Linked DNA regions of Tamandua tetradactyla. The protein of the gene in region 2 purifies or fractionates together with the protein of the main gene of each other region. This does not show direct contact. Links are inferred from orthologs where the notes say so. Each region holds a gene or a part of one and is shown on either strand. Other genes may lie near its edges.

Region 1 (7,600 bases), on a different chromosome or scaffold from region 2:
ATCCACCAGAGGGGTTCAAAGAAGACTAGGGAAGCAGTTCTCTAGCCATTGCTTAAGCTCTCTTACAATGGGAGCAGAGACAGCTGGGATGGCTAGTGAGTTAAGCACCTACCAAAAGGTCCCTGACACTAACAGATGCAGTAAGTTGTTGAAGTTTCAGAGAAAAAAAGCAGGGAAAGTATAGAGCCCTTTAGGATGGCTTTTCCCAGTGGCCCTAAATAGAACTTGGAGAGTTTTTCTCTACTACGAGGGAGATAAATCTGATTAAAGTTCATAATAATAAAATGTTACCTTGAGGGGACAAAGTACACTGTCCCCCTTGGAGCCCTGAGAGGAGCCACCATCCAAGAAGCAATGTTGGCAGCTGCAGCAGGAGCAGACCTGTCCTCATATCATCCTACAGCAAAAGGACCTGTGCCATGTTCTCTTCAACTGTGGCTTCAGCAACAGTGACTACCACACCAGGAAGAGAAGGTGGCCTCTCACTTCTACGTGCATAGGTGCATGCCTGCCATCTCTAATATTTAAGAGAGAGAGAGAAAGAGTGGGGTAAGTGAGGTAAGGATGGAAACTATCACCCCCTCTCCAGGAAAGCCTGAGCTCTGCACCAACTGGAATGTACCACCCTGCACCTTAGAGAACAGGTGTTCTGCAGGCTTTCTACTCTCTTTGCTAAGCAAACAGACATCCCTGCTGGAGTCCGACACGGTGGTCCCTGTGACTTATTTGGGTGCCCCAACTTATAGTCTTGGGATTAGTAGGAGGACGCCACTGGTTTTTAACAGGATCTTTCCATTGAGGTCTCACTGAACCATAGGGAAGGAGGTTCTATGCCTAGGCTACAGTACGGTGGGAAGGTGGGAGAGCATTGCCATTCTGGAGCTTTTTACCAACCAGTCAGTGTACAGGTGACTGTGATCCCTGTGGCCCCTAGCACCGAGATGGGGGGAGAAAAAATAATGATGCCATATTTGGGCCTGATGCTACCCCCCAAAACCCTCGCAGAAAGTGACTTTGCGTATGTCTCTTTGGGTCCCTACAAGCCTCCGTTCTATGGCTCCATCACTGAATGTAATATTGAAATTGACATATTGTCTATATGTACACATCCCCCAGACCTTATGGAATTGCTGCTGTTAGGGGAATTTAAGTATTACATTTAAAAACCTGTGAACCTTCCTGTCTCCTGGGTTGTGGCTAATAGCCTGGTCAGGTCTGGTAAGTCTTGGACTGGCAAATGAAGCAGGCCCCCTGTGGGGACTAGATATTTGGAAGAAAATCAGTTCTGTTCCTACTAAATTTTGTGCTTCCCGGGTGGATCCTCACCAAAGCCCCCATACTGATGGGTAAAGAACCAACCAGTATAAACTCTGCTTGTCAGCCAAACGCAGAGACTGATGTGTCTTCTGCCCATAACAAGCATATATATGACCAATCACCTCCCGGACTCATGATAAGACTGCCCAAGGGAATTTAGGCACCACACAGGCCTGGACCTGCAAGCATATAATGTCGTTATCATCAGAAGACACCAGAACAGCTTGGAAGATCGTTTTCATTTTCCAGACCCTGGGTCTTGCTGGATTCTGACTGCAGTTGACAGTTTCTGTGGCTTTGGTCTAGTCATTGCTGTGACTTTCCCAAATTCCTATAAATTCATATGTTTTTTTGTTTGTTTGGTAAGGCACCCCATGATTTCTCCAGAATGTGGACTTCCAGTTCGCAAATAGCCAATAAACCTTTCTTGGAATATAGGTTTGTCCTTGATAGAATTAGCTTGTTTGGACTAGGAAATCTGCCTCATACTAAAGTTCAGAAACACTAACTTCACATAAAAATTAGCAACAGAAAGTATCAAGGTCAAATTCTATACAAAGGTATTATAAGAAAAAAAGAGAATAAGGAGAATTGTATCATTACAGTTAATGAAAGCATGCCTGAAACACATGCTGACAAAACAGATCAAATCCGTAACTTACTATTTCAAAATATCTAAAAGCCCTTAAGAAAATGATACAAGACAAGAAAAAACAATGTGATTCAGAATGAGAGAATCTCAGAAACTAGGTGACAGAACTCAGGAGACTGCTAATGACGAATAAACTAGAAGGAACACAAAACTAATAAACACAACTGATTACATTATTCTGTGAAGAACCCAAGTCAGTCTTTATATGTTGATATTTCTCTAGTAATTTTGTTTGTAATTCTTCAAGAGGGGTTCATAGCAACAATAGTCTTTGAGTTCTTGCATATTGACAATAGTTGGTCTGTATCCTTTGTACATGAGAGTCAGTTTTGCTAGATATAAAATCCTTGGTCAACACTTTTTTCCCCTTGAATATCCTAAATACGTTATTCCACTTTCTTCTGGTACAAAGCATCACTGTCAAAAAGTCTGGTCACTATCTATTTTTCTATTCTATTTTGCAAATATTAAACATTAAACACTAAAATCTGTTAAACCTGGGTGTCTTTTATATTGGAGATTTGAAATAATTTATACCATATTTCATCAAATCAAAGATGCCTTCAATTTTAAGATGCACTATTATTTTCTGTATTGATAAGAAAGAAAAAAGCATTCCAATTTCAAGGATGTTAAAATGTAAAGGTATGTGGGTCTTAAATAAAATACAGTAGATTAGTCTTTGATTGCTATGTAACAAATTAGCACAAACTTAGCAGCTTAAAACAAATTTATTAGCTCACAATTATGTAGATTAGAAGTTATGGCATATGATAGCTGGGTTCTCTGCCCATGATCTCACAAGGCTGCAATCAAGTTATCAGCTGTGTTCTGATATGAAACGCAGGGTCCTCTTTCAAGTTCATTCAGGATGTTGGCCAAGTTTGGTTTCTTGTAGTTGTAGGCAAAGGTCCCTATTTCCTTGTTAGCTGAAGGCCAATCTCAACTCTTAGAGGCTGTTCCATTCCTTGCTACACGGGTCCCTTCATCTTCAAATTCAGCAATGGAGAATCTCCTTCTCAAAGAATATCCCTCACTTTAAATATCTTTTTTCCAGGAAGAGCCCAGTCTCTGTCTCTTTCCAGAGAAGAAAGAAGGTAGCATTGCTTTCCCTCTGTCTAAAACGCTCATCTGCTAGATCTTCACAGGACTCACATCATTTAGGTTTCAGCTCTAATGTCATTTCCTCAAAGAGGCCATCTTTGACCATCTAAAATCTTACCCTTCTTCCTGCAAGTCTCTTTCTCTTTGCCCTCTTTTATTTTCTCCATCGTGCTTATGACTTAATAAAATTATTTTGCCCATTTATTTTTGTTTGTTTGTTTGCTACACTGAGATATTGAGAGTAAGGGAATCAGGATCACAGTATCTCTATCACTTGATTATTCTCTAACCATTAACTCCAATTACATAAATATTTAAGGAAAGAAAGAAATGAGGGAGATTAGAGAGAAGAAATTGGCAGAATCTATGGGGTGGACCAGATGAAGATATTTACATGTATTAACTTTAGCATAAGCAGATAAGACAGGGAGAAGATAAGCCTAGCGTTAGAGCAGAATGTTGCAAGAGTAGGAGATAGACCAATTTCACTTTAACGGTTACTTTGTTATGTAGAAAAGGTTCAAAACAGGGTTGTGGAACCTGAGTGATGCCACAAATAAGAAGCTTGTAGTTTTCAGGTATTTGGAAATACTTGAAAAGATAATAGAAGAACGCAAAGGATAATGCACAGTTTGGCCTGGATTCTAGTCTCCACACTAAAAAGGAAGAAATGCTAATTAAGAAAAAAAAACCACACATTCCATAGGATGATGTAAGACATAAAATGATGTTAAGACAAAGTATATACCAATTTTTAATCCTACAGATGTTTCTTCAAATACATAAAGTTGTTTATAATGAAAGAAAAATCCTAAGTTAGTGTCCAACTCATTCTTGTTCTAAGAAAAGTGAAAACAGGGGAGCCAGTGGAAAGAGAAGTAGATGATAGATCCTTAAATGACCTTAATCGGATAGTGATTAGCTCTACCTATAACCTGAACAAGTCACTTAAACTGACAGGAAACTCCTCTCTGTTACCCACAAAATTGGAAGAGGAAGCTAACTAGACCTAATGTCATTTACAGCTCTAAACTTCACACAAGTCTATGAAATTTGTGAGTTTCTACTAGATTCTAAGCTTTTTAACGGAAGGATTACAAATATTAAACATCTTATTCATCAACGTGAATGGAACCAAACACATGTAGATATCCAACTTTTGAAACTGGAAATCCGGAGATATTACTAGTCTTTGATTTTTCATGTATAAAATGGAGGGGTTTCCTCTTCTTGTTATAAAAGCCAAGGACTATGCTACATAAATCTATGATTTCACTGGTCTTTATAGCCCTGTGTGCTTGGCCATAAACTCATAAAGGTAACTCTGAACTGTGTTCCCGACCATTTACACATGGTCGCAGTCACCTGCAACAATTCCCGCGGCCGCACCCAAACCGGAAACTATGGCGCTCTTGGAATAGACCGGAAAGCGCAGCCGGCAAGGCGTTCCCCGGACCCGCCCCCTCCACTGACGTAGCCGCCTGCCCTTTGACCCCGCGATCCCGCCCCTTTCCCTGCCTTTCTGTAGCCGGCGGCGGCTGCGTGTATGACGGCGATGGAGGAGGTCAGCTCCGTAGCTGCCCGTGATGGGGAAGCGGCGTCCTGCTCTTCCTGGGGGTTCAGCAGGTGAGAGGACAGGTGTGGGGCCGAAGGCGCGAGTAGTCGCGGGGTGTTTCAGGGCCCCTGTTCTGCTTCTCCGGCTCGGTCGGAAGGGGAGAGACGCGAGGCCGCGGGGTGGACCGGAGCCGGCTCTGGGAGGCCAGGGGAAGGCGCGGGGTGGGTGTGGCGGCGTGGGCCCGGGTGTCTGCGGCTGCCGGCTTTCCTGAGGAGGAAGTCCTCTTCCCGCCCCCTTTCTGCGCTGTCTCAGTTCCGGTTGGGGTCCTCCTTGTCACCGGACGTGAGGGTTTGGACCGAGATTTCTGGCCCGGGTTGTTTGATGTGGTCTTCTAGCCTTGGTGTCGAGCACCTTGCCTCCTCCTTTCAGTGAAATGAAAGCTAAGAGCTCCACTGTGCGCGATCTTCCACTGAGACGCTCCTTTGAGAGCTGTTACTGAAGGGAACTTGGTAATGATGAATCATGCAGTGTGGACACCCTGAGGCCTCTGTTGCTCACAGTTAGAAATAAAATGTGGGGAAAAAATATCCGAGTTACCCGTTCTTATTTCCCAATTCATTTTGAGGTTCTCCTTTCCCGCCTCTACAGAATTGGAGGTGTGTCTGTGGCCCTTACCAATTTCTTGGTTAGTAGTTCCTGTTCCATACAGGACAACAGTATTTTCAGTCATCTCGTAATTAATAAAGCGGGTAGTTTTATCTTGCCCTCTATCAGAACACGATATGCCAAGAATAAAAGTAATGGATATGTTATTTTCATCTAAAGGGAGACTTTCCATAAACCAGTAGCTACGTGGCTCACTTCGGACGGAAGGGATGCTTTTAGGGCCGTCGTATTGCCTGCTGTTACCAACACTGCCGCATTTCCTTGGGGATTATTATGTAATACAAACAAAACCCCTATTCTGTTACTTGAAGCATATTTGATTGCCTTATAGATCTTATCGTAGAAATGGTTCTTGGGACACTTCACAGTGAGGTAGAACTTTCTGAAAAGAAAGTGTCAGTCGTACTATTAATTAGCAAAGATAGTTCGAATGTAGTAGACTACTGTCCCATATAAGGAAGTCAGCAAGTAAAAGTGTACTAGGAATAAGATAATAGGAAACCAATTAAAATTATTTTCTTATTTTGTTACAATGCCAAAATCAGGTTGTGTATGTGTGTGAATTACCTATCTAAGGAATAGGTGATCCCTTAGAACATAGACATCTTCTGGTTCACCTTCATAATAGCATTCAGGAATTTTTGTAATAGTTATCTATTTAGTTAGCTAGAAGCTGGTATCATTTATCGATACCAATAGAAGTTTGCTAAGATAAATGATGACATTTTAATCATATATATTCACATATTCTTTAATTTCCGAAAGCTAGGCCTAGAAAAATGTATTCTAAAACTGACTTTTGTGCCCATCACGTTGTTTTTAAGTGTCCCATAATTCATAATTAGTGCTTTCCAGAGCCTGGAAAGGATTACACATTTTCCGAGATGATACTGATATTGATCACAACTTTCAGAGTGTCTCAGGCCCAAATGCCACAAGCTGGTTCCCTGTTTCCCGTTTTCCTACTAATATCATTTTTCTTTGTATGCCATACTGTGAAAACAATGTGACGCACACTGTAAATGATATAAGGTAAATACACTTTTTTTAAGAAACTAGTACGTTGAACTCTTTTTTCGTTTCTAAAATGCATTCATTTAACATAGTGCACAAGTGCTACTTTTCTGTCTACTGTGAGGCAGTAGGAGGTATGATGTGGTGGTCAGCTAGACTGCCTGGGTTCAAATCCTGGGTCTGCCATTTACCTGCTCTTTGAACCCAGGCAAGTTAAATTAACCACTCTCAGCCTCAGTTGTTTTCTGTCTGTTGGCTGGAGATATTAATAGTACCATCTCATAAATTGTTGTGAGGGTTAAGTTAGTATAGCCAAAGCTCTTAAGACAATGTGTGGCACAGTATTAGCTATTATTATTATTAGCTAGGTACTATTTTAAATATTTGAAAAACATTAGTGAATTTTTCATGGGCTATACGTTTTAGTGGTGGGGAGTCAGACAATAAACAAATAGGCAAATATTAAATGAATTAATAGTTCACTTAATGATAAATGATTTGAGGAAAATACAGCAGGTTAGTGAAATAGAGAATGACCTAAGAAAGGGACATTTTATTTAAGAGGGTTATTCAGCAGTGTGCTCTGTGATGAGGCAATATTTTAAAGGAAGGTTTTTTTTTTTAGGCAACATTTTAATAGAGGATTGAATGATAAGGAGTCAACTATACAAAGGGCTGAAGGAAGAATATTCCAGGCAGTAGGAATAGCAAGTGTAAGCACTCTGAAGTGAAAGCAAGTATGGCTTTTTTAAGGAACAGCAGGTAGGCCAGTGTGGCTGAAGATAGTGAGCAAGTGGGAGAGTGATGGGAGTTGAGATTGGAAAAGTGGGAGACAGAATATGTAGGCCCATTGAGGCATGGTAAAGTGTTTGAATTTTATTCTAAAAGTAAAGGAAATCCACTGAAGAGGTCTTAGGATGGAAGTGATATCTGACTATATTTTTAAAGATTCAGGCCATTGTTATATGGAGAATAAACTGAAGGGAAAGGGAATAGTAGAAATAGACTTGTTAGGAGCACTTTCAGGTAAAATGTGGTTGATGGTTTAGTCTAAAATTGTCCTGGTTGAAATAGTGAGAAATAATCAGATCCAAGATATCTCTTGAGATTTTCTTTGATAGTGGATGTCTCTAGAGGTTGTTTTTTTGTTTTGTTTGTTTGTTTGTTTTTGCATGGGAAGGCACCGGGAATCAAACCCGGGTCTCTGGCATGGCAGGTGAGAACTCTGCCTGCTGAGTCACTGTGGTCTGCCTGAGATGTGTTTTAATAGCAGAACCAGTAGCACTCATAGA
Region 2 (6,935 bases):
AGGCCAGATCATGAAAGGCCCTTGTATTAGTTTTCTATTGCTGCTGTAGCAAATTACCACAAACTTAGTGGTTTAAAACTATTTATTCTACAGTTCTGGGGGTCCGAAGTCTGAAATTGGTTTCACTGGCTAACATTAAGGTGTCAGTAGGACTGCATTCCTTTTGGAGGCTCAATGGGAGAATCTGTTCCTTTGCCTTTCCAGCTTTTAGAGGTTGCCTGCATTCTTTGCCTTATGACCTTTTCCTCCATCTTCAAAGCTGGTAGCACAGCATCTTCAAATCTGACTTAACCTCTATGCTATCTCCCTCTTTCACTTCTAAAGACACTTGTGATTACATTGGTCTGCCCAGATAATCCAAAATAACCTCTCATCTGAAGATCCTTAACCTAATCACACCTACAATTAAGTGTTACTTTATCTTACACAAGGTAACATAATCACAGGTTCTAGAAATTAGGACATGTATATCTTGGGGGTGAGGTGAGGGGCATTATTCTGCCTACCAAAGCCCTGTAAGGTCATAAAAAGGAGTTTAGATTTTATTCAAAGTGCAAAGTGATGACAAAAGGGAGTGACTTCTGATTTATGTTCATACTTATTTCTTTTTTGTTGACTGACAAAATAGAGGGCATAGGATAAAGACTAGAAAAACTCCAGCATTTAGAATCCAGAAGAGGAGGAAGCAGCAAAGAAGAGTGAGAAGGACTAGCCACTGGGGGAAGCAGAGAACAAGGAGAGGGTACTGTCCACAAGCCAAGAAAGGGACATTTCAAGACTGTGGGAGTGGTCATCTGTGCTGGTGATTGCCGAAACGAGGCAGAAGCTAAGGCAAAAGTGACCCTTGGATTTGCTAAAATGGAAGTCATGGTAATCTAGATAAAATGGGCTGTAGAGGAGTGATAGGATCATAGGCCACACTGGAGTTGTTTAGTGAATATGAGATGAGGAAGTAAGGAAAATGTAGATTTGTGCTGTCCCTTATGGCAGCCGCTGGCACATGTGGCTACTGAACACTTAAAATGTGGCTAGCTTGAATTAAGATGAGCTGTAAGTGTAAAATACACACCAGGTTTCCAAAACTAAGTGTGAAAAAAAGAAGGTGGAATACATTATTAACTGATTACACACGGAAAAGTAAATATTTTGTATGTATTAGGAAAATCAAACATTATTAAAATTAATTTCACCTCTTTCTTTTTACCTTTTTTTAAAATGTGGCTACTAGAAGATTTAGCATTACACATGGGGCTCACATTACATTCTCACTGGACAGTGCTGAGGTAAATAATTGTTCAATAGTTTTATTGTAAAGGGAGCCAATGGGAGGAAGAGTGACAGGGATTTACAACTGCTGACTATTTCCAATTTCTTGAAACTTTCCTCTCTCAGCTTTTGACGTAGTCGATTTGGATTCTCCTGGATTCTTTCTGGATTTGTAGGGGAACATTGTTCCAGGCAAAGGAAACAGTAATTGCAAAGGCACTGAGGCAGGAGGCTGCTTAGATGAAAATGGACAGAAAGACCATATTGTTGGAGTAAAGTTGAGGGGAGGGGAGAGTATCAGGAAACGAGGATCTGGAGATAAGGGCCTTTTATCATTTATTGTGATTGAGACAGGACATCAAGGCTTTTGGGGAGAAAAATGACACATGCTGAGAACAGACAATAAAGAGGCAAAGATGAGAGCAGGGAGACCAGTTAGAAGGCTTTTGTCATAATTCAGGTGAGAGACCAGGATGGAGAGGATGATGATACAAGGCGCATTCTGTCCATATTGCAAAGGCACAGCTGATAGAATTTGATGAAGGGTGTAAGAGAAGGTGAGGAGCTAAGACTATCTCTAAGCTTTCTGGAAGGATAAAGTTGCCACCTACTGAAATGGGAAATATTACAGAAAAATATTTGGGGGAGGAAAGCTGGACACGGAAAAAGCCTATGTTTTGGACTTAAGTGTGAGATACTTATTGCACATTGGAGATGTCAAGTAAGCAGTAGGGTATGTAAGTTCGGGAGAGAAGGCAGATTCAGAGATATGAATTTGAGAGTCATCAACACATATACGTATTAAAAGCTGTAGAAGGAGATGAGATCACCTAGGGAGTAAATGTAGATAGAGAGGAGGTCCAAGGGTTGACTCTTAGACCACTTAAGTTTACAAACTAGAGAGATAAGAAAGAACCTGTAAAGGAAACCAAAAAGGAATGACCACTGAGTAATGGGAAAACCAGGAGTGCGGTGTCCTGCAAATGAAGAGAAGAAAGTGTTTCCAAGATGAAGGAATGAATAACTGGGTCAAATGATGTTGACAGGCCAAGTAAGACTGTGAGCTCACCACCAGATTTAACAATGTAGGGGCCAATGGTGATCCTTACATGAGCAGTTTTGGGAGGTGATGGGGGTTAGAGCTTGATTTGGAATGGGTTTACAAGTGAATAGGATGAGGAGAGTTAGAGAAGATTATACACAACTCTCTCCAGAAATTTTGTTATAAAAGAAATGAGAAAAATGGGATGATGGCCGGAGGGGGATGTTGATGCTAAGAGGGGTTTTCCAAACTGGGGAGAAATTACATCTTATTTTTATGCTGATAAGCATGATGCAATAGAAACTGAAAAAATGATGCAGGAGCAATATCTCCCCCAAGACTGAATCTTGTCTGTTGTCGTGACAGGGATAGTCTTGATACACCTGAAATGCAATATATTAAAATATATATATATATTTTTTAATTTTCATATATATATATATTCATCTCCCTTCTAAACTGCTTTTCCCTTTTGTAGTCTCTATCTTGCATGGTAGCAATTCTATCCATTTAATCATCCAAGTTAGAAAGCTGGCATAGCAGTAGTGATACCACAGAAATAATATTCACAATTTCATCTCGTGTGAAGTGCAGCAATGGATGACATAGGGAGCTGTAAACACTCAGCAAAGTGCTAAGCCCCAGAATAGAAGATCAAATACCGAAAGGTAGACATTGGTTAGACCCAAATCATCAAATTCTAGCAATTCTATGTCCTAAATATCTTACAAATTTGTTCCCTCCCTCCGTATCTATTACCAGAAGTTAAATAGCTGAGTCAGAAATTCGTGATAATATATACCCTATCCCACCCCTCCCGGGAGGGATCTTATTGAAATGGAAAGCCCGGAAAAACCTCATTCTACAATTTGCAAAACATCCTGATATGGCTATTATTTATATGCAGGGGCAGGAGTTACAGAAAAGCAATGTTGTTTAGCCCGGTTAGAGCCTCAGGAAAGAACCAGCAAATCGCTATATACAGATAACCCTCGCGAGGAGGGTCAGCTAACTGCAAGACCGACCCTACACACCGGTGAAATCCGGCCGCTGTCCGCGCACCTGTGAGACTACAAATCCCAGCATGCTCGGCATTCATCAAGGTGCAAAGACGCAGTGTATGCCGGGACATGTAGTCCGTTCTACCTTAAGAAAAAACCAGAACGTCCCGCGACATCAGGAGGACTCGGGAAAGGAGTCTGAATCGGTCCAGGCTTAAGTTAAATCTTTCTCTAGAAAGCCCACCCTAGTTTCTTCGGTGATACGGTTTCTACTCTAAACAGGCCCCACCCCACAGTCCAGGCGGACCCATGGTGTGAGTTGTGTAGCCTCTCGCGTGAATACTTCACATTTACAGGCGAAGTATCGGAAAGCAGGAATAGGCAGTCTTTTGCCCTCAAGGCGCACGCTAGAGAGAGTAGCGCCACGCGGGACGCTACCTGGCACAAAAGCTGAAACGCCGCTTGTCCAGCAGCGCCGGTGAGGACGTGGCAAACCTGCTTTCGACTGCCGCTACCCTTTCCCCCAGAGGCGCAGGAGGCGCGAAGGCTGCTGGGAACGCGCATGCGCCCACCACGACGAAGCATACCCCTCTAACGTCCGCGGGCGCGGGAGGTGTCGAGTTTCGACAGTGGCACTTTGCGGCCTGTCGTGCGGTAGGGCGCGGGCGGGCGCGGCGGCAGTGGCGCGCACAGGTGATTGACTGGCCGGCTGGACGGCTGGCTGAGGGAGCTCCTGGTCCTCATCGCTTGCAGGTGGCGGAGCCTATTTGGGCGGTGGAGGCGGCGGCGGCCGTGCTTGGGAGGTGCTCCGCGGACCAAGGCCATGGCTCCGCGGCTGCAGCTGGAAAAGGCGGCCTGGCGCTGGGCAGAGACTGTGCGGCCCGAGGAGGTGTCGCAGGAGCACATCGAGACCGCCTACCGCATCTGGCTGGAGCCCTGCATCCGTGGCGTGTGCAGGTGAGGCTTGTGCACCGGCCCTTTCGGCCCCTTCACTCTGGGTCCTCGAAAGCCGGGCCGGAGCAGGGTGGGAGGAAGGACACCGAGGCCCGCTGCTTGCATCGGAACGGCGCGGAGAGGAGCGAGGTGGAGGTTTCCTCTTTTCCGCCGTCTGGGCGATCTAGGAAGCGTAGCTTTCCCGTGCTGTCTGCGCAGAGGTAATGCTGCTGAAAGCCTTTTAGAAAGGGTTCTGGGTTCTCACCTAGAAGATGGCGGTGGAGATGGTTGAAAAGCAGGAGCTGAGAGCTTAGCAAACGTTGATGGTTGTTATATCTTGGCTTTTTCTTTTGTAAAAAGGGAACTTCCTGGAGGTGAGCTTCATCTCAGTTTATCTTGCATTAGTGTTGACGCGAAGGCCTTTTTGGAGAGGGCAATTTTAGAAAGGTATGGTTAGCCTACGTCATCAGTACTCTCCATCCCTAGTTGACCTACCCTCACGCATTAGTTTTGTATTTTTTTAGGTTTTTTCTTTTTTGTCATTGTGATTCTACGCCACTCTGAGTATCAACTTTGAGCTCAGCTTTAAGTGTCAGCCTTCAAGTCTGCTTAGACTTTGACCCTAACCTTACACGCCTTGGTCCTATTTATTCCTTTCCCACCTTTTAACGCGGGAACTATAGTTTTTGTTCCGGAATGTTGTTGAATTGGTTTTGCCAAATTGGGCATGCTCAGTAGCCTTCTTTCAGCAGGCATTTGGTAAATGCTTTCTGGAGTTTTTACTTCCCGCGGGGCAGGGGCGGCGGCGGCGGCGGCAGTGATAGTGTATCCAGATAGAATGGTAGGCATAGTCTCTAACTTTTGAGCTTAAAGTCTCGTTTGGGAACTGAACAAGTTAGGGAACTTCCATAAATCAAGCAAATAATTCCAAGCTCTGGGCATCTGATTCACAAGAAGGGCAAATCTGACTCCCACGTTAAGTACTGGAATGACAGAAGGCCTTGTATAGTAGAATGTACCAAGCCTCAGTCAGTATCCGCGCAGTTTAGTTTCGAGGTAGCTGAAAATTTTTAATTGTTCACCGTTCATAATTCTTATGTTAAAGGAAGTGAAGGTGAAGTAGGAATTGACTGAGAGGAGTGTCATAGAGAAAATGAGTTTTAAGCTGCAGTTGCAAGATTCATATCCAAGCAGTTTAAAAAAAAAACAGCTTTATTAACATGTAATTCATATACTATGCGATTCACTCATTTAAGTAGACAATGTTTTTTGGTATATCGGAGGGATTGTGCAAGCCATTTCAGCAATCTAATTTTCTAACATTTTCATTCTGCCTAGAAGAAACTCTGTATCCATTAGATTAGCAGTCTCCTGCCCTGCATCCCGTGCCCCCAGCCTTAAGCAACCTAATCTACTTTTTGTCTCTAAACTTTCCTGTTTTTCATATAAGTGGAATCATATGGGGACTAATGTGAATGTCTTCTTTCACTGAGTATAATGTTTTCAAGGTTCATGTTGTACCATTTATAAGTACTTTATTCTTTTTGTGACCAAAAAATAATCAGTTGCTTGGATATACCACATTTTATATGTCCATTCTTTGGTTGATGGACATTAGGGTTGTTTCCACAGTTTGGCTATTATGAATAATGCTGCTATGAAAATTCATGCACGAATTTTTGTGTAGATACATGTTTTCATTTCTATTATGGAGTAGAATTGCAGTGATAACTCTGTTTAACATTTTAGAGAACTGTCAGACCGTTTTCCAAAGTCCAAAACTGCTGCACTGTATGCATTTTACATACCCATAAGCAATGCACGAAAGTTCCTTTTCTCCACATCTTCACACTTGTTATTGTCTTTGATTTAGCCATCTTAGTGTTTGTGAAGTGGCATCTCATTGTGATTTTGATTTGCATTTCCCTGCCTGCTAATAATGTTGAACATCTTTTCATGTATTTATTGTCTATTTGTTTGTCTTCTTTTTAGAAATGTCTATTCAAATCTTTTGCCTATTTTTTCAATCTACCAAATTTATTTTAACATTTGTTTCCCCCATTATTTATTTATTTTTAATTCATATGTTTTACTCATCTGTCCATAAGGTAGATAAAAGAAGCATCACACACAAGGTTTTCACAATCACACAGTCACATTGCAAAAGCTATATCATTATACAATCATCTTCAAGAAACATGGCTACTGGAACACAGCTCTACATTTTCAGACAGTTCCCTCCAGCCTCTCCATTACATCTTGACTAACAAGGTGATATCTATTTAATGCTTAAGAATAACCTCCAGGATAACCTCTCGACTGTTTGGAATCTCTCAGCCATTGACACTTTATTTTGTCTCATTTCACTCTTCCCTACTTCAGTCGAGAAGGTTTTCTCATTCCCTTGGTGCTGAGTCCCAGCTCATTCTAGGATTTCTGTCCCACGTTGCCAGGAAGGTCCACACCCCTGGGAATCATGTCCCACGTAGAGGGGGGAAGGGCAGTGAGTTTGCTTGTTGTGTTGGCTGAAGAGAGAGAGGCCACATCTGAGCAACAAAAGAGGTTCTCTTGGGGGTGACTCGTAGGCCTAACTTTAAGTAGGCTTGACCTATCCTTTGTGGGGTTAAGTTTTGTATGAACAAACCTCAAGATTGGGGGCTCAGCCTATAGCTTTGGTTGTCTACATTGCTTGT
Region 3 (7,206 bases), on a different chromosome or scaffold from region 2:
ATGCCCCATGTTGGCAGGAAGATTTTTACCCCGAAATGCCTAGCCTGTTTTCATAGATGGAATACCAACCCCGTCCACACACATATATCCCCTTACCAGTGGGAGCAGAGCCTGTCCCCTCCAGCCCCTCATCACAGGATACTGAAAATGCATCTGACTCCCTGCCAGGCCTGGAAGCTGCACCCTGAGGGCAGCTCCAGGTCTCCTCTGCCGTGTCTCCTAGCCAGCCCCCAGTGGGGCACAGAGATGACAAATGCACCCGTTGACAGACAGAAGCCCGAGCTCCATCCCAGGCTGTACCCACCCCAACCTTCTTCCTCCTCCCCAGACCCATCTCTCCCTTGCCCACAGCTCCCTGGTGACTCACGGTTGTCAAAGATGGGATGGGAGAGGACGGGCGGCAGGCGGAGTGGCCTGCCTGCCGGGTCCCGCACTGTCACCTGGAAGCAGAGCCGCACAGCATTCAGGTCGTAGTCCCCTCGCTGCTCTTCTATGGGGACTGCAGAAAAGCAGGTGGTCAGGAGAGCCGGGGGACAGGGCTGGGGACAGGGAGCTCTCGGCGGGGAGGGCTGATCAGGGGCATGGGAAATAGGAGGAGGAACTCAGAGGAGTAGGAAGAGAAGGTTCTAGACCCATCACTGGCTCTACCTGTCACCCTGATGCCATGCCCCTCAGTGCTCCCAGTGGTAAAATGGGAGTGTGCACTGAACGGGCAGCGACATCCCGTGCATCCTGTGAGTCTTGGCCAATGAGGGAGAAAGGCAGGGAAGGTGGCCTCAGGAAGGTAATGGAGGGTAGGGGTGCTCCAAACAAGCCCTTGGCCTTCGCACCCTTACCCCTTACCTTGGAAGGGGTTATTGTTGGTCTGGATGCGCTGGCTGATAGCTTGCTCCAGGTCTCGTTTCTTCACGCATTGGATCCCAAGGTTCTGAAAGCTGAGTCCCCGCCCCGGTATCAGTCCTACTGTCTCCAGCAGAGTCTAGACCCTCCTGCCTTATTCAGTGTGCCCCCCACTCCCAACCAGACCATCTCTCTGTGGTCCAACGGCTTCCCATCGTGCTGCAGTAAAAACCACACTCCTGACCTCAGGCTTGACAAGCCCCGTGGTACCTGGCCCCTGCCTAGCTCCTCCAGCCTCAGGGGTCCCTTTTCTGTCTCTACAAACACACTCAACTCATTCCCACTTCAAAGCCTTTGCACTCGTTCTTTCTGCTTGGAATGTTCTCTCCCTGCTTCAGTTTTTTTCTCATCATCAAAGTCTTAGCCCAGAGAGGCCTTGCCTGACTTCCAATCCAAAGAAATAACCCCTGCCCCAGGTTATTCTTCACAGCCAATTACTTCGTTTTATTTTCATCATTGAAATGATCACTCTAACACTATCTTGCTTATTTATTTGTATATTTATTTACAGCCTGTCTCTGTCTCCTGGTATGTGAGCTCCAGGGGAGATGGCTGGTTTGTGGTTTTTCTTTCTCAGCACAAGCAGTGTAACACCAAGGGACCTGCTCTTTCAGCCACAGAGATGATTAGGGCCCCATTCCTGCCCCAAGGAGCCCACATCTGCTGGAGGAATGAACCCACAAAAATATTTTCAAGACAAAGCAAGTCTGCTTTGCAGACCTGGGGACAGAGAAAGGAATAAGGAATTCTGCCCTGTGTATAGAAAGGAGTGAGACTGTCACAGCTACACGAGACCCTCCCATCTTCCCGTCATCGCCTCCTACTCCCAGGTCCTGCGGGGAGTTCACCTGTGGATGCAGCGGTCCGGGCAGAGCTCAGCCTCATAGAAGCCATCTCGGCAGTCCTTCCCCACAAGCTCGTGGGGGTGAGGCCGGTGAGGGGGATCCTTGGTAACCAGGGAGATGCGAACTGTCCCTGGCCCTGTGTAGCCATTGATCTGTCCAAAGTACAGAGAGCACCTAGAGGCCCAAGAATTCCAATCCCACCTCCCAGACACAGAGGGCACAGAGGCCTGAAGGGAGACCACTTCCGCAGCCTCTCCCTAGCGCCCAATCTGTGTTCCCCACTCCACTTCTGGGAACCAGTGGCTGGCTGCTGACCTTGATGGTGGGGTGGGTCTTTGTGGTGTCCGTGCTCCGCTCGCCTGGGATACTGCCCGCTGAGCGGCCCTCGCACTTGTAGCGGAAGCGCATGCCCCGCTGCTTGGGCTGCTCAATGATCTCCACATAGGGACCAGAGGCCTGGACTGGCTCTGCTGGGGAGATGCAGGCCACTGTCCCCACTGCCCCTCACCCTCTCCCCCCCTGCCAACCCCCACCTGGAACCATTGAGAAAGGACAGTATACTTACCTGAGGGGAAGATGAGGGGGAACAAGTCTGAAAGGGGAGGGAGACAAGGGTCAGCAAGCCACTTCCCATCCTCACCAGGTTCCCCTGGAGTGAAACTGAGTCAGGGCCTGCTTTCTAGACTCTGTAGGGAGACTATGGGGTGGGGTGAAGAGGTCCAGAGACATTTGTTTCCTGAGGGAAAACTAGGTACGGTGTCCTCCTTTGACTAAGGGAAACTAAGTCAAGGCCTTCTCTACTTTCATAACCAAAATTAAGAGGATGCACTCCCCCACCCCTCTTCCTGAAAGGAAACCTGAGTCAGCTACATTCTCCTCTAACAGGTAAACTAAGTCAGCGCTGCCCCCATGGACCCTGGGGGGAACCTGTGTCAGGGCCCCGCACACCCACCCCCACCCCCACCCAAGACGGAAACTGAGTCCAGCCCCCCCCTTCCACCCAGAGGGGAAACTGAGTCAGGCCCCTTCACGCCCGGCCCGCCCCGCGTCACCATCCGGCCGGGCCGCTCCCTGCGTGGCACCCGCCCGCGCAGGAATGGGGGCCAGGGGGGCACGGAGACTCCCACCGCGGGGCCCCCGCGGGGTCAGAGGGCGCCCTCACCGTCCATGGCCGGGGTCCCGGGGGCGGGGCCGGGGTCGCAGCTGGGCCCGCGGCGCGCGCGCTACAGCCGAGCCATTCGCCAGAGGCGGAAATGCGCCGCGCGCGCCCGCCGCCGCGTCACTGCCCGGAATCCGGCCGCGCCTGCGCGCTACGTCACCGCCGCCCCGCGCGGGGGCCCGGGAGCCGGGTGCGCGCCTACCGGGGGGCGAGGAGGCCGCGCGCCGCCGCCGCCGCCGCCGCCGCCGCGCCGCGCCGAGACCCGGGTCCGAGAGGCTTCCCGGGGAGGGCGCGGCCGCTCCGCTCGCTCCCGAGTCCCGGCCCCGCCTGGAGGGCGGCCGGGCGATTACTCACGCTGTTTTTTAGGGGATTTCGGGGCCCCCCTCCCGCCGCTCGGGGGAGGGCGGTGATGTCACCGCGCCCGGCCTGGAGCGCGGCCAGGGCTGCAGGGCTGCGGCCGCCCGTCCCGCGCCGGGAAAGGCCCGGGCCTGCTCGGCCCCCGAGGCGCGCGCTGGACTTGACCCGCGCGGCCCCTGAGCACCCAAGGTGCCTCTCGGGGGTTGTACCTGCAGAGGCACCTGCTAAGTTCCTGTCCACCCCAAGCAGAGGCAGTGGAGGGAAAGGAGAGTGGCCGGGCTCCCCCACCCCACGGGCCGGGACCCCGGGGCGCCCAGGGGGCAACTGAGGCGCCGAGGGTCGCGTCGCCTCCCGCGGGCGGCCGCGGTCGAGTTAGGCCAGGGCTAGTCGCTTCTCCGGCTCAAGTGCCTCGGGGACGATGAGTGGGCGGGAGACGCCCGGAGCAGGCTGCCTAAGTCCCCGGGGGTCCCCTCGCACCCGTAGGGGCCCGCCTGCCTTCCCAGAGCTCCCAGCTTGGGGGCAGCTCAGCCATCAGTCAAGCCATGCCATTGTCATGCCATCGCCCCCCTCCAAGTCCAGGCCCAAAGCGCATCCTTGCAGGGAGGGGAAGGGGCTGGGGTTGGGGCGCCCTCCCCACCCCCCAGGTCCTCCCTCGCCCCCCCGTCCCAGATTGAGGACGTTCCAAAGCAGGCGGTGGAGCCTTCTCCAGATGGAGAAAAACTTATTTTCTTTAAATGGGTTCTAAATTCGGGAATCATTTGGGAATTGAAAAAGACTGGAAATTCTGACTTGCTTTCCCAGGCTCTGAAAAAACAGGAAGAGAAAAGTGAAAATGAAGTTGCCACCCCTCCCACTCATTTCGGTTTCTCTTGCGTCCCTGATTAGAAAAGTCTGTTTTTTTTTGTTTTGATTTTTTTTTTTTTTTGCGGAGGCAGATTTCAGGTTGAAGAATGGATGAATTATAATCTTTACTTAATGACATGCAATCATCATTGATTTAGGCATGATCTTTTATTTGATTTTTATATATTTATACTTTTAAAAATAGTACAGTGAAAACCATCATAAAGGATTCCATGCATTAGAATAACTTTCCAGAAACCTACAACCTTCAAATGGGTCCCTGGACCAGATAAATCCTGAAACCTAGCTAGAGGGCCCAGTTCAAATAGAGTCAAGAGGCTACTCTGGAAGTGGTTCTTACACAAGCTTCAGGTAGACCTGCCAACCCCCAGCCAGGACCATTTCAGCCAATCCTAAAGAACACCCAGGGCAATTTATAAGATTCCACAATGGTTCCATGCACTAGAGGAACTTTCCAGAAATCTAGAACCTCCAGGTGGGTCCCTGGTCCAATTAAGTCCTGAAACCTAGCCCAGCCTCTCCAGAACGTCAGATAGTTCCATCTCCCTACCCCACATTAGTGACAGACCCTTCCAATAGCAAAAATTTAGAATTGCCCTAGCCCAAACACCCCTAAAGAGAGGTATGGAAAGATCAAAGGTGATGGTGGAATTATACATAGAAGATAGGATTTAACAAATGAATATGAGTGATGAATCATTAAACTGATATCTATTTTAGTCTCCAGTATTTTATTTTTGCATGGGCAGGCACCGGGAATCTCCAGTATTTTAGAGCAGCTAGAATTGAAAACCTAAAATTGTGAAATTATAACCCGTGTCAAAGTCTGAAATATGTTCTATAACTAATTGTGGTGCTGTGCTTTGAAATTGATAGCTTTTTCGTATATATGTTATTTTTCCCAAAAAAAAGAAGGAAAAAAAGTCGATTGTGATGATAAAAAAGTATTTAAGCTCTCTAGCCGCCTATATTCTGGAGCAGCTAGAAGGAAAAAATCTGAGAGGATGGTACGGTAGCCCATGAAAAACTCTGGGGTCTCTCCTGTAATCCCTTGTTGAAGAGTGCTTTGAAAACTACTGCTTTTTATTTCTTTACTTGGTATATATGTTATAGTACACAATAAAAAAAAGTTTAAAAAGTGTGACGTAACTATATGCTTTTTACAACAGATCACCTTAAATTCAAAGGCATGAGTAGGTTGAAAGTGAAAGTATGCAAATAATAATTATTCCATGCAAATAATAATCAAATGAGGGGCAACCAAATCAATAGGAGAGCCCTCGATCTTGGGGTGCATCCCTATGAAAACTATTCCTGCAAAGGGTAGGCTAAACCTGCTTAAAATTAGGCCTAAGAATCATCCCCAGAGAACCTCTTTAGTTGCTCAAATGTGGCCGCTTTCTCTAAGCCAACTCAGCAGGTGAACTCACTACCCTCCCCTCTACATGGGACATGACTCCCAGGAGTGTAAATCTCCCTGGCAATATGGGACAGAAATCTCAGAATAAGCCAGGGCCCGACAGCAATGGATTGAGTAAGCCTCCTTGACCAAAAGGGGGAAGAGAGAAATGAGATAAAGTTTCAGTAGCTGAGAGATTTCAAACTGAGTCGAGAGGTTATCCTGGAGGTTATTCTTACACATTATATAGCTATCCCTTTTTAGTTTATGGTGTATTGGGCAGGCACTGAGAAAGGCTTGTTTGGATGCTTTTAATAAACAAACTATTAAATAAAGTCTCATGAGGCAACAGGCTAAATTTGAACGCTGGCCCGGCATTTGATGATAATAAATGATTGTTATTAATATTATTTTAGGTGTGATAATAACATAGTAGTCTTTTTTCCCAAGAGTCCTGGGATATAGTTCAAAAATAATCCCTGAAATGGAGATTTCCTGGGAGTGGGGGTGGGGCTGTCAGCAAAAAGGTAACAGGAGCAGCCATGAATTCTAAACTATTGTAATTGGATGATGAATCCATGGAAACTTGTTATGCTATTCTCAAACTCTCGTGTGTATTTACATTTTATACTAAAAAGTTGTCTTTTTTTTTTTAATGACACCTTAAGGAGAGTGAAAAGTCAAGCTATGAGCTGGGAGATAATATTTGCAGCACAAGCACCTGTCGAAGGCTTGGTGTAAAGAATGCCTACAAATCGAAATAAAAAGACAGCCTAATGGTAAAATGAGGCAAAGGCATAAACAGACATTTTACAGAAGAGGAAACACAAAGGGCTAATAAACATATGGGAAGTTTGTCAAACTCACTAGTAATATGGAAATGCAAATTAAGATTGCACCCAGATTCCATTTTACAACCATTTGATTAAAATGAAGTCTGACAATAAATCTTGGAGACAATGTCAAGTGGAGGAGGTCTGGTACCACATTGCTACTGGAAGTGTAACTTGGTATCCGCATTGTAGCATTAGCTTGTATCATTGGCTATTTGCATATTCCAGGACCCAGGAAGTCCCTTTTAGGTATACACCCAAGAGAAACTCTTGGATATATAGACAACAGGAGACAATCCCAGGAATGTTCTTAGCAACACTGTTTATAATAGCAAAGCACCGCAAACCTGAGCGCCTATCCTCAGGGTGAATAGATTCACAAGCTGTGGTATAGCTCCGTAACAGAATAGTATACAGTCATGAAAAGGGAATGAACTATGAAACGCATAAATCTTAGTCCCATAAGACTGAATGAAAAAAGTACATAAACAAAGGGAAACATATAATATGGTGCCCTCTTCATAAAAATAAAAGTTAGCAAGCCCAAACAATGTAATATAGACATGCATATATAAATGGATATTTTTTCTTTAAAAACATAATCAAGAGAATAATAAATACAGAATTCTGCACGGGCATAAAGAAGGCAGGTACAGGTGATGAGCAGGGGGTTAGGTATAAGTCACAGGGGAGTGTATCTATGCTCTCGAGGTCTGCAGCAGCTACACTGGTTTTCTTTTTCTTTCTTTCTTTCTTTTTTTTTTTTTTTAACTTTTTTATTGTATAGTATAACATACATACAAAGCAAAGAAATAAAAAAGCAATAGTTTTCAAAGCACTCTTTAACAA
Region 4 (6,978 bases), on a different chromosome or scaffold from region 2:
TGAGTAACCGCGCCCCCTTTCCTCCCCTGTTCCCTCCTCTCCCAATCCCTTTTGCTCCTGGGTCGCAGCCCAGAGTCCCAGGGAGTGATCAGCGGTGCTGTTTTCCTTATCATCCTCTTCTGCTTCATCCCTTTTCCCTTCCTGAACTGCTTCGTGGAGGAGCAGTGTAAGGCCTTCCCCCACCATGAAGTAAGTGGGGGATTGGGGGTGGTTGCCTATGGATGGGAGCTGGGAGTAACTTGAGAAAGTTGGGGTTATTTGGACTTGGGGAAAACAGGAATTCTTGGGAGAAGAGGTGGAGTGGGAGGAGGGTTGAGTGATGACCTGCTTGAGCCTCCCCCAGTTTGTGGCCCTGATAGGTGCCCTCCTTGCCATCTGCTGCATGATTTTCCTGGGCTTTGCGGATGATGTACTGAATTTGCGCTGGCGCCATAAGCTGCTGCTGCCCACAGCTGCCTCATTACCACTACTCATGGTCTATTTCACCAACTTTGGCAACACAACCATTGTGGTACCCAAACCCTTCCGTCCAATTCTTGGCCTGCATCTGGACTTAGGTGAGTAGCCCTGCCACTTAGTGCCCCTCTGGCCCTTACTTCAGGTCAGCAGATATCCAGCAGAATACCCTTCCTGATATATCAGATATCTATCAGAACACCCTTCCTGATGCCCTGCATTCTTCTCCAGTGTTCCTGTTCCACTCCTGTGTCTTCTTCTGCCTTCTGTCCCTCATCTTGTCCACTCTCCTTACCATGCCCCTCAGAAGAATATTCTTCAATCCACTTTCCATAGGTGGCACTAGTTCTTTTCATACTGTCTTTTCTACCAGGCATTCTGTACTATGTCTACATGGGGCTGCTGGCAGTGTTCTGTACCAATGCCATCAATATTCTGGCAGGAATCAATGGGCTAGAGGCTGGCCAGTCACTAGTCATTTCTGCTTCCATCATTGTCTTCAACCTGGTAGAGCTGGGAGGTAGGTGGCTTGGCAGAAGAATGAGAAAGAAGTCTGAGTGTTTGGTGAGTTGCCTGATATATGACTTTGGGTAACTCAGAAGCAATATGTGATTAATTATAGAAGAAAAAAGAAGCTATTTGCTTTGCAAATAATAACTAATATTGATTGTAAGAGAAATAGCAGCCCTGTCATCTGTCACTGCATTGATACTAATAGTTAGGCCGTGGTATTCTTCTGTTGAACATAAACAATTTCATAGAACCCCCAAATCAGACAAGCTCACATTGTGATTGTACTGATGCAAGACAAAGACCAGACCCCTCTATAATCATATCTGAGAACAGGCAGAACCACAGGAACACTGTGCAAACCACAAAAATGACCAAACATCCTCCTCTCCTGGCTAACGTGAGTGACTGCAGCTTCTTTCCAATAATAGTGCAGTTCCTCCTACTTCTTAGATAAAAACTATTAAGATGCTCACCCATAGAATTATTCCTGCTTTCTGATAGCTCTCAGTTCAGAGAAAAACTCTGCTTCTTTGCATCCTTCCCCAAATTACCCAAAACAAATCCTTTAACAAGCTCTCCTGACACCCTCTTACTGAGGTGCTGTGTCATTCCCTTTACAGCATGGATTTCCACAGTCTTCCTGCTGCAACAAGTTAACAACCCAACTTTGACTATAGATGTGCTTCTGGTGGTCTTTGGGCATTGGGTATCAACAAGCGCTTATTAAAGTTAACCACTTTTCATTTTGTGTTTTCTTTATTATCATTTTTTAAAAAAATTTTATTTAAAGCACTTTTCAAACATCTCATTTAAACCTCATAAAAACTCTATGGAGCAGGTGTTATCACCTCCATTTTAGAGATGAGGAAACAGGCTTAGAGAAGTTGAATGTATCATGATCAAGGCCACACAGCAAGGAAAGAAGGCTCATATTCAAACCCAGGTCTGAAAGTCCTAAACCAAATTTAAAACAGTAATTAGTTTAGGAAGGCTCTGTGAAAGGGGTGGTATATCCAGAATTGCTAGGGTGACATGAGAGGGTTAGTGAGTACTTGAATGTGATTTGGGAGAGGTTGATGCTGCTTGGAACAGAACTTAGAGATAGGTTGGACAGACAGAAATAGAACCAAGTAGCTATTAACTTTCCCCCTCTTCCTTTTTTCTTTGCTCCCAAAGGTGACTGTCGGGATGATCATGTCTTTTCCCTCTACTTCATGATACCTTTTTTTTTCACCACCCTGGGACTGCTCTACCATAACTGGTAAGTAGGCTAAGGGAGAGAACTGTGTGAATGTGTGGTCCTGATCATGGCCCACCTCTTGATGGAGAGGCTAAACCCGTGTTGAGTATCTTCTGGGTCCTCAATTGTTAGAATTCGGAAACTGCTCTCTGCCCTGCAATATTTGGGGCAAGAACCCTCAGGTATTGATGAATTCAGGTCTCTGTGTGCTACAAAGTTGCTGGAAGAACTGGAGTCTCCTGAGTCAAAACTAGGGTCAGGATTACCTACTGGCCAGTGTGAGAGGTGAGAGAAAGGGTTGGTAATGCTTCTTGCCATTGGCTTAGATACCCCCACCCCCCACAGGTACCCATCACAGGTGTTTGTGGGAGATACCTTCTGTTACTTTGCTGGCATGACCTTTGCCGTGGTGGGCATCTTGGGACACTTCAGCAAGACCATGCTACTGTTCTTCATGCCCCAGGTGTTCAACTTCCTCTACTCACTGCCTCAGCTCCTGCACATCATCCCCTGCCCTCGCCACCGTATACCCAGGTAGCCGCCTTGGGTACCAGGGTAGAAAAGGGTAGCCATTGAAGGGACATCAAAATCTTTTCACTTGGGATGTCTAAAGCCAGCCTATACATTTGCTTGCAAAGAGAGTGAGTGTGCCCAAAGAAGGGCTAACTCTTTCCATGTGGGTAGCCCTTTTGTAATCTACAAAGCAATTTACTTACATAAACTCATTTAAAATTCAGAGTAGCTCTGATCACACAGTAGTAAGCAGCAGAGCCAGAAATAGATCTCATATTGTTTAATTCCACAGTCACTTCTCTTCCTATTGATTAACCACTGGGAGGAGAGTTCTTTAAGTAATGTCACAGTCACATAAAGCTCTCTTCTCACCCCACCCCACCCCACAGACTCAATACCAAAACAGGCAAACTGGAGATGAGCTATTCCAAGTTCAAGACCAAGAGCCTCTCTTTCTTGGGCACCTTTATTCTAAAGGTAACAGAGTGACAAGGAGGTAAGGCCTTAGGCAGCCATCCTGAACTCGGGGCATGGGAACCCTGGGGCTGCCTTAGATCAAAGGGAATGTGGAAGCAGTAGGTAGATCCACATTCCTGAAGCATAGGTTTTAGCTGCAGTTCTCTCCACCTCTGGCCCCTCCAGGTAGCAGAGAGCCTCCGGCTATTGACAGTGCGGCAGAATGAGAATGAGGATGGTGCCTTCACCGAGTGCAACAACATGACCCTCATCAATTTGCTGCTCAAAATCTTTGGACCCATGTATGAGCGAAACCTCACATTGCTCTTGCTGCTGCTGCAGGTGAGGTTGAGGATGGGGTCTCCACCTCCTTCTTGTCTCACTTTCTCTGTGGTTCTCACTTGAATCCTTTTCTTCTTACAGATCCTGGGCAGTGTTGTCACCTTCTCCATTCGGTACCAGCTTGTCCGACTCTTCTATGATGTCTGAGTCCCCTGATCATTGCTCTCTACCTCGAAATCTCCAGGGTTCCCGACTCAGGCTGAGCTTTTTCTGAACCAAGACTGTCTCCCAGTGCAGGCCTCTCCCACACTTCATTCTTCCAGAATTTGTTCTCAGCTTTTCCCGTCCCTGATGATGCCCTCTTAACGACTATTGGTTGGGCTTTGCCTATGGCTTTCTTCAACTTGCCATTCTCTTCCTCTTCATCCTGTTTCTGCCCTGAGGTAGGATATGGCAGCTTTTATGCAGTTATCCACAACTCAACTCTCAGAGTCCTGACAGCCAAGGAAAATGCCAGGCCTTGGGATAGAACCTGGGCTGGGGACAGAGACACAGACCTGAAGGTGACTTGACATTTGACTACAAATTAAGTGTTCTGATTAGTAAGAGCAGACCAGGAGCCAGGTGCTCCCAATGTTGACAATAAAGTGATGTCTTTTTATTGTTCCTGAAGGTATTTTTCCTGTATGGGCATTTTAGGGTAGGATGGAAGGGTTAGTGAGGGCATCCCCAAAAGGATACCTATTTCTCTGCTCCATCCTTTTCATTACACCGGACCCCTTCTACCAAGAAGTGAACAGAAAGAATTGAGAACAGATAGCCCATGTTGAATAAATATTGAAATAATGATATTTTGGGTGGCGTTGAGGACCAGAAGATTGGAGTTATCTAATTTCAGGCATAGGTTCATACTTTTAGGTGACTCATTTCTTCCCTTTTTCATTCGCCCTTTGCCCGATAGGAGGACAGAATGAGAAGTAACCAGACCTGGAAGGGTAAGCAGCGGTGGTCTTAGTGTTCACTCCATTTCTTTAAAAATCCTAGGCCAGCCCGGATTTCCCAGAGGCTTTTTAGGCGGTTTTAAACTCCACCCACTTTGTCTTCCGGTCTGGTCTCCCACTGTAGCGTTTAAATCGCGCGCGCTTCACATGGATTGGCTACATCTGGGGAGGTTGGGCGTCTGCGGTGCGCCTCTCCTCCTCGCCTTTTCCCCCGGGCTAAGGGTTTTCAAATTCGACCAATCGGCAGGCGCTCTTCCTCCTTCGAGAAGCGTCATCAAAGGGTTAACAGTAGCCAATCGGAGGCAGGTATTAGAGAAGAGAGCCAATCAGGAAGGTGCGGGGGTGTGTCCTAGGGGCTATAAAAGTGGCCCCACGGCGCGTGCGACGGCAGTTGGACTGCGGCTGGCTGCTGTGATTTTCAGTGTTGAGAAGCTTTTTCGTCTTTGCTTATCCTACCTCGCGCGGCATGTCGGGGCGCGGCAAGACCGGCGGTAAGGCCCGCGCTAAGGCCAAGTCGCGTTCATCGCGCGCGGGCCTCCAGTTTCCTGTGGGCCGCGTTCATCGGCTGCTGCGGAAGGGTCACTACGCGGAGCGTGTGGGCGCCGGCGCTCCGGTGTACCTGGCCGCGGTGCTCGAGTACCTGACCGCTGAGATCCTAGAGCTGGCGGGCAACGCGGCCCGCGACAACAAGAAGACGCGGATCATCCCTCGCCACCTGCAACTCGCCATCCGCAACGACGAGGAGCTCAACAAGCTGCTGGGTGGCGTGACGATCGCCCAGGGAGGCGTCCTGCCCAACATTCAGGCCGTCCTGCTGCCCAAGAAGACAAGCGCCACCGTTGGGCCTAAGGCGCCTGCGGGCGGCAAGAAGGCCACGCAGGCCTCTCAGGAGTACTGAGGGAGGCCCCGCCGGAGTCGGGCCGCCCCCGGCCCTCCCCATGCCACCACAAAGGCCCTTTTAAGGGCCACCACAGCCCTCACGGAAAGAGCTGAGCGGCGGCCCCCGAGCCGTAACCTTCATCCCCGGCCCTTCACCCCCACACCCCCCGGCCTCTCCTCGCCGCGCGTTTGCTTCCGGCCTCTGCAGCCGCGGGCCTTGCAGGCCTGCGTTTCTATTTCACCTACGGGGAGGTTGGAAAGACAGGCTGTCCTCTGTGGTAGAAGCACCTGGCCTGCCGGCGCAGCTCTGCTCCCACACCGCTTTCGGTCTCTCCAGTGGCCTTGGCGTGGGGGCGCGGCCCCTGCTCCAGAGCTAGTTACCCATCCGCTCCTATCAATTGAGCCGCGGGGTGGCGGTGAGACGGGATCCCCTCCGAGGAGACCGGCCTCCCGCCCTGCAATTGCTGCTGCCAGGCGGCTGAGGGTGCAGCCCATGCCCAGGGGTCGGACGGCCCTGCGGCCCTCAAGGTGAGTTGGTGCAGAGAGCGGCCGGCAGAGGCCCTCACCGCCGCGGCAGAGTGGTCGTCTGTTACCTTTCCAGCTTGGTGCTTAGCCCAGGACTTTTCAGACGTGACTGTTGATTTCCAGGCTTTGACGGGAGAGGGACTGGTCACTTAATTTGCTTGGGTGCCCTTTTGCTGCCAAGTCACGGGCTTTCCCATCTATTCCTCCATCTTTATTCATAGGCTTGTCTGCTACCGCCTGGGCTGTGATACGAATGTTTCGCCAGAGATGACTGCCTCTCGGAAAGAAGCTTGGGGGAGGGGCAGAGGCCTCCAGCTGGGAGTCACAGCTGACTGTGTGGACAGTTCTGTGTAGGTGCCTGAAACCGACTGGTGGCCAGGCCTGTGGGGTCTACCCTCTCCACCTTTATTTCCCTTCCAGCAACTCAATTCAGCAATGCAAGCACCTCCTAGATAACCAGCACAAGTCAGTTCATCCCTGTCTGGACTGAGCCTCTGTTGGCTTCTGAACTGGAATTTTGCAGATAACCCATCCAAGACTAGTACCTTAGTTATTGGGAAATTTCAGATGGACTAATTTTATTAAATGTTTCTTTTTTAATGAGGAGTCTCTTCATTTTGCAAGAGTTGTAGGATTGATTTTAGAGTGTGTATAGTGGGGGATTACCTAAATAAGGGAGTTCATTAACTAGAGAAGGAGCAAGCCACAGTATTTTTGGATTACAGTTCTGTGTTTCTTGGGAGAGAATTCCTTCTGTTTGAAATGAGAGCTACTGAAGTCGAAAGGTTGTTCCAGGATTACTTTGGGTAGTGGCCTGGCCTCTGAAATAAGGAGTAAAGGGTTTTGTGTTTGCTATTTACTTATTTTAACTACCCCACTGGGAAAGAGCAGAAAGAAAACAATCTTCAGAACTGCTTTATTAGTAGAATTAGTTACATTCAAAGGCTATGACCTTTCTCTAAAGAGATGCAGCCCCCACCTACTGAGGAGGCCAGGCAAAGTCACCAAGGCGAGGCAGGCCCCTGGAAGTCCATGATCCTGGGGTATAATCACCTCAGTCAGCATCAAGAGTGGGGCACTGTGGCAACCCAGGTACCTGTGCCCCACAGACCT

Evidence for each region.
Region 1: the proteins of USP48 (region 2) and UBA6 fractionate together in Homo sapiens (co-fractionation; 3 studies listed by BioGRID, with this or other methods). This does not show direct contact. The link is inferred for Tamandua tetradactyla from reciprocal best matches to the Homo sapiens genes USP48 and UBA6.
Region 3: the proteins of USP48 (region 2) and RELA purify together in Homo sapiens (affinity purification with mass spectrometry; 3 studies listed by BioGRID, with this or other methods). This does not show direct contact. The link is inferred for Tamandua tetradactyla from reciprocal best matches to the Homo sapiens genes USP48 and RELA.
Region 4: the proteins of USP48 (region 2) and H2AX purify together in Homo sapiens (affinity purification with mass spectrometry; 3 studies listed by BioGRID). This does not show direct contact. The link is inferred for Tamandua tetradactyla from reciprocal best matches to the Homo sapiens genes USP48 and H2AX.

What each region holds. Positions count from the first base shown.
Region 1 is NC_135345.1:69,395,948-69,403,547, reverse strand, and holds the start of UBA6 (ubiquitin-like modifier-activating enzyme 6), read left to right. Parts: upstream 1-4,580; 5' UTR 4,581-4,619; coding exon 4,620-4,699; intron 4,700-7,600. UniProt on the Homo sapiens protein: Activates ubiquitin by first adenylating its C-terminal glycine residue with ATP, and thereafter linking this residue to the side chain of a cysteine residue in E1, yielding a ubiquitin-E1 thioester and free AMP.
Region 2 is NC_135328.1:204,652,960-204,659,894, forward strand, and holds the start of USP48 (ubiquitin carboxyl-terminal hydrolase 48), read left to right. Parts: upstream 1-3,924; 5' UTR 3,925-4,132; coding exon 4,133-4,266; intron 4,267-4,275; exon of another isoform or gene 4,276-4,463; intron 4,464-6,935.
Region 3 is NC_135335.1:8,859,137-8,866,342, reverse strand, and holds the start of RELA (transcription factor p65), read right to left. Parts: upstream 3,005-7,206; 5' UTR 2,915-3,004; coding exon 2,908-2,914; intron 2,338-2,907; coding exon 2,311-2,337; intron 2,216-2,310; coding exon 2,061-2,215; intron 1,898-2,060; coding exon 1,749-1,897; intron 936-1,748; coding exon 844-935; intron 500-843; coding exon 368-499; intron 1-367. UniProt on the Homo sapiens protein: NF-kappa-B is a pleiotropic transcription factor present in almost all cell types and is the endpoint of a series of signal transduction events that are initiated by a vast array of stimuli related to many biological processes such as inflammation, immunity, differentiation, cell growth, tumorigenesis and apoptosis.
Region 4 is NC_135334.1:21,661,256-21,668,233, forward strand, and holds H2AX (histone H2AX), read left to right. Parts: upstream 1-4,831; 5' UTR 4,832-4,927; coding exon 4,928-5,359; 3' UTR 5,360-5,868; intron 5,869-6,086; 3' UTR 6,087-6,465; downstream 6,466-6,978. Other genes in the region: DPAGT1 (UDP-N-acetylglucosamine--dolichyl-phosphate N-acetylglucosaminephosphotransferase), read left to right, coding at 69-189, 344-557, 830-976, 2,146-2,230, 2,555-2,743, 3,112-3,199, 3,365-3,520, 3,602-3,667. UniProt on the Homo sapiens protein: Variant histone H2A which replaces conventional H2A in a subset of nucleosomes. Nucleosomes wrap and compact DNA into chromatin, limiting DNA accessibility to the cellular machineries which require DNA as a template.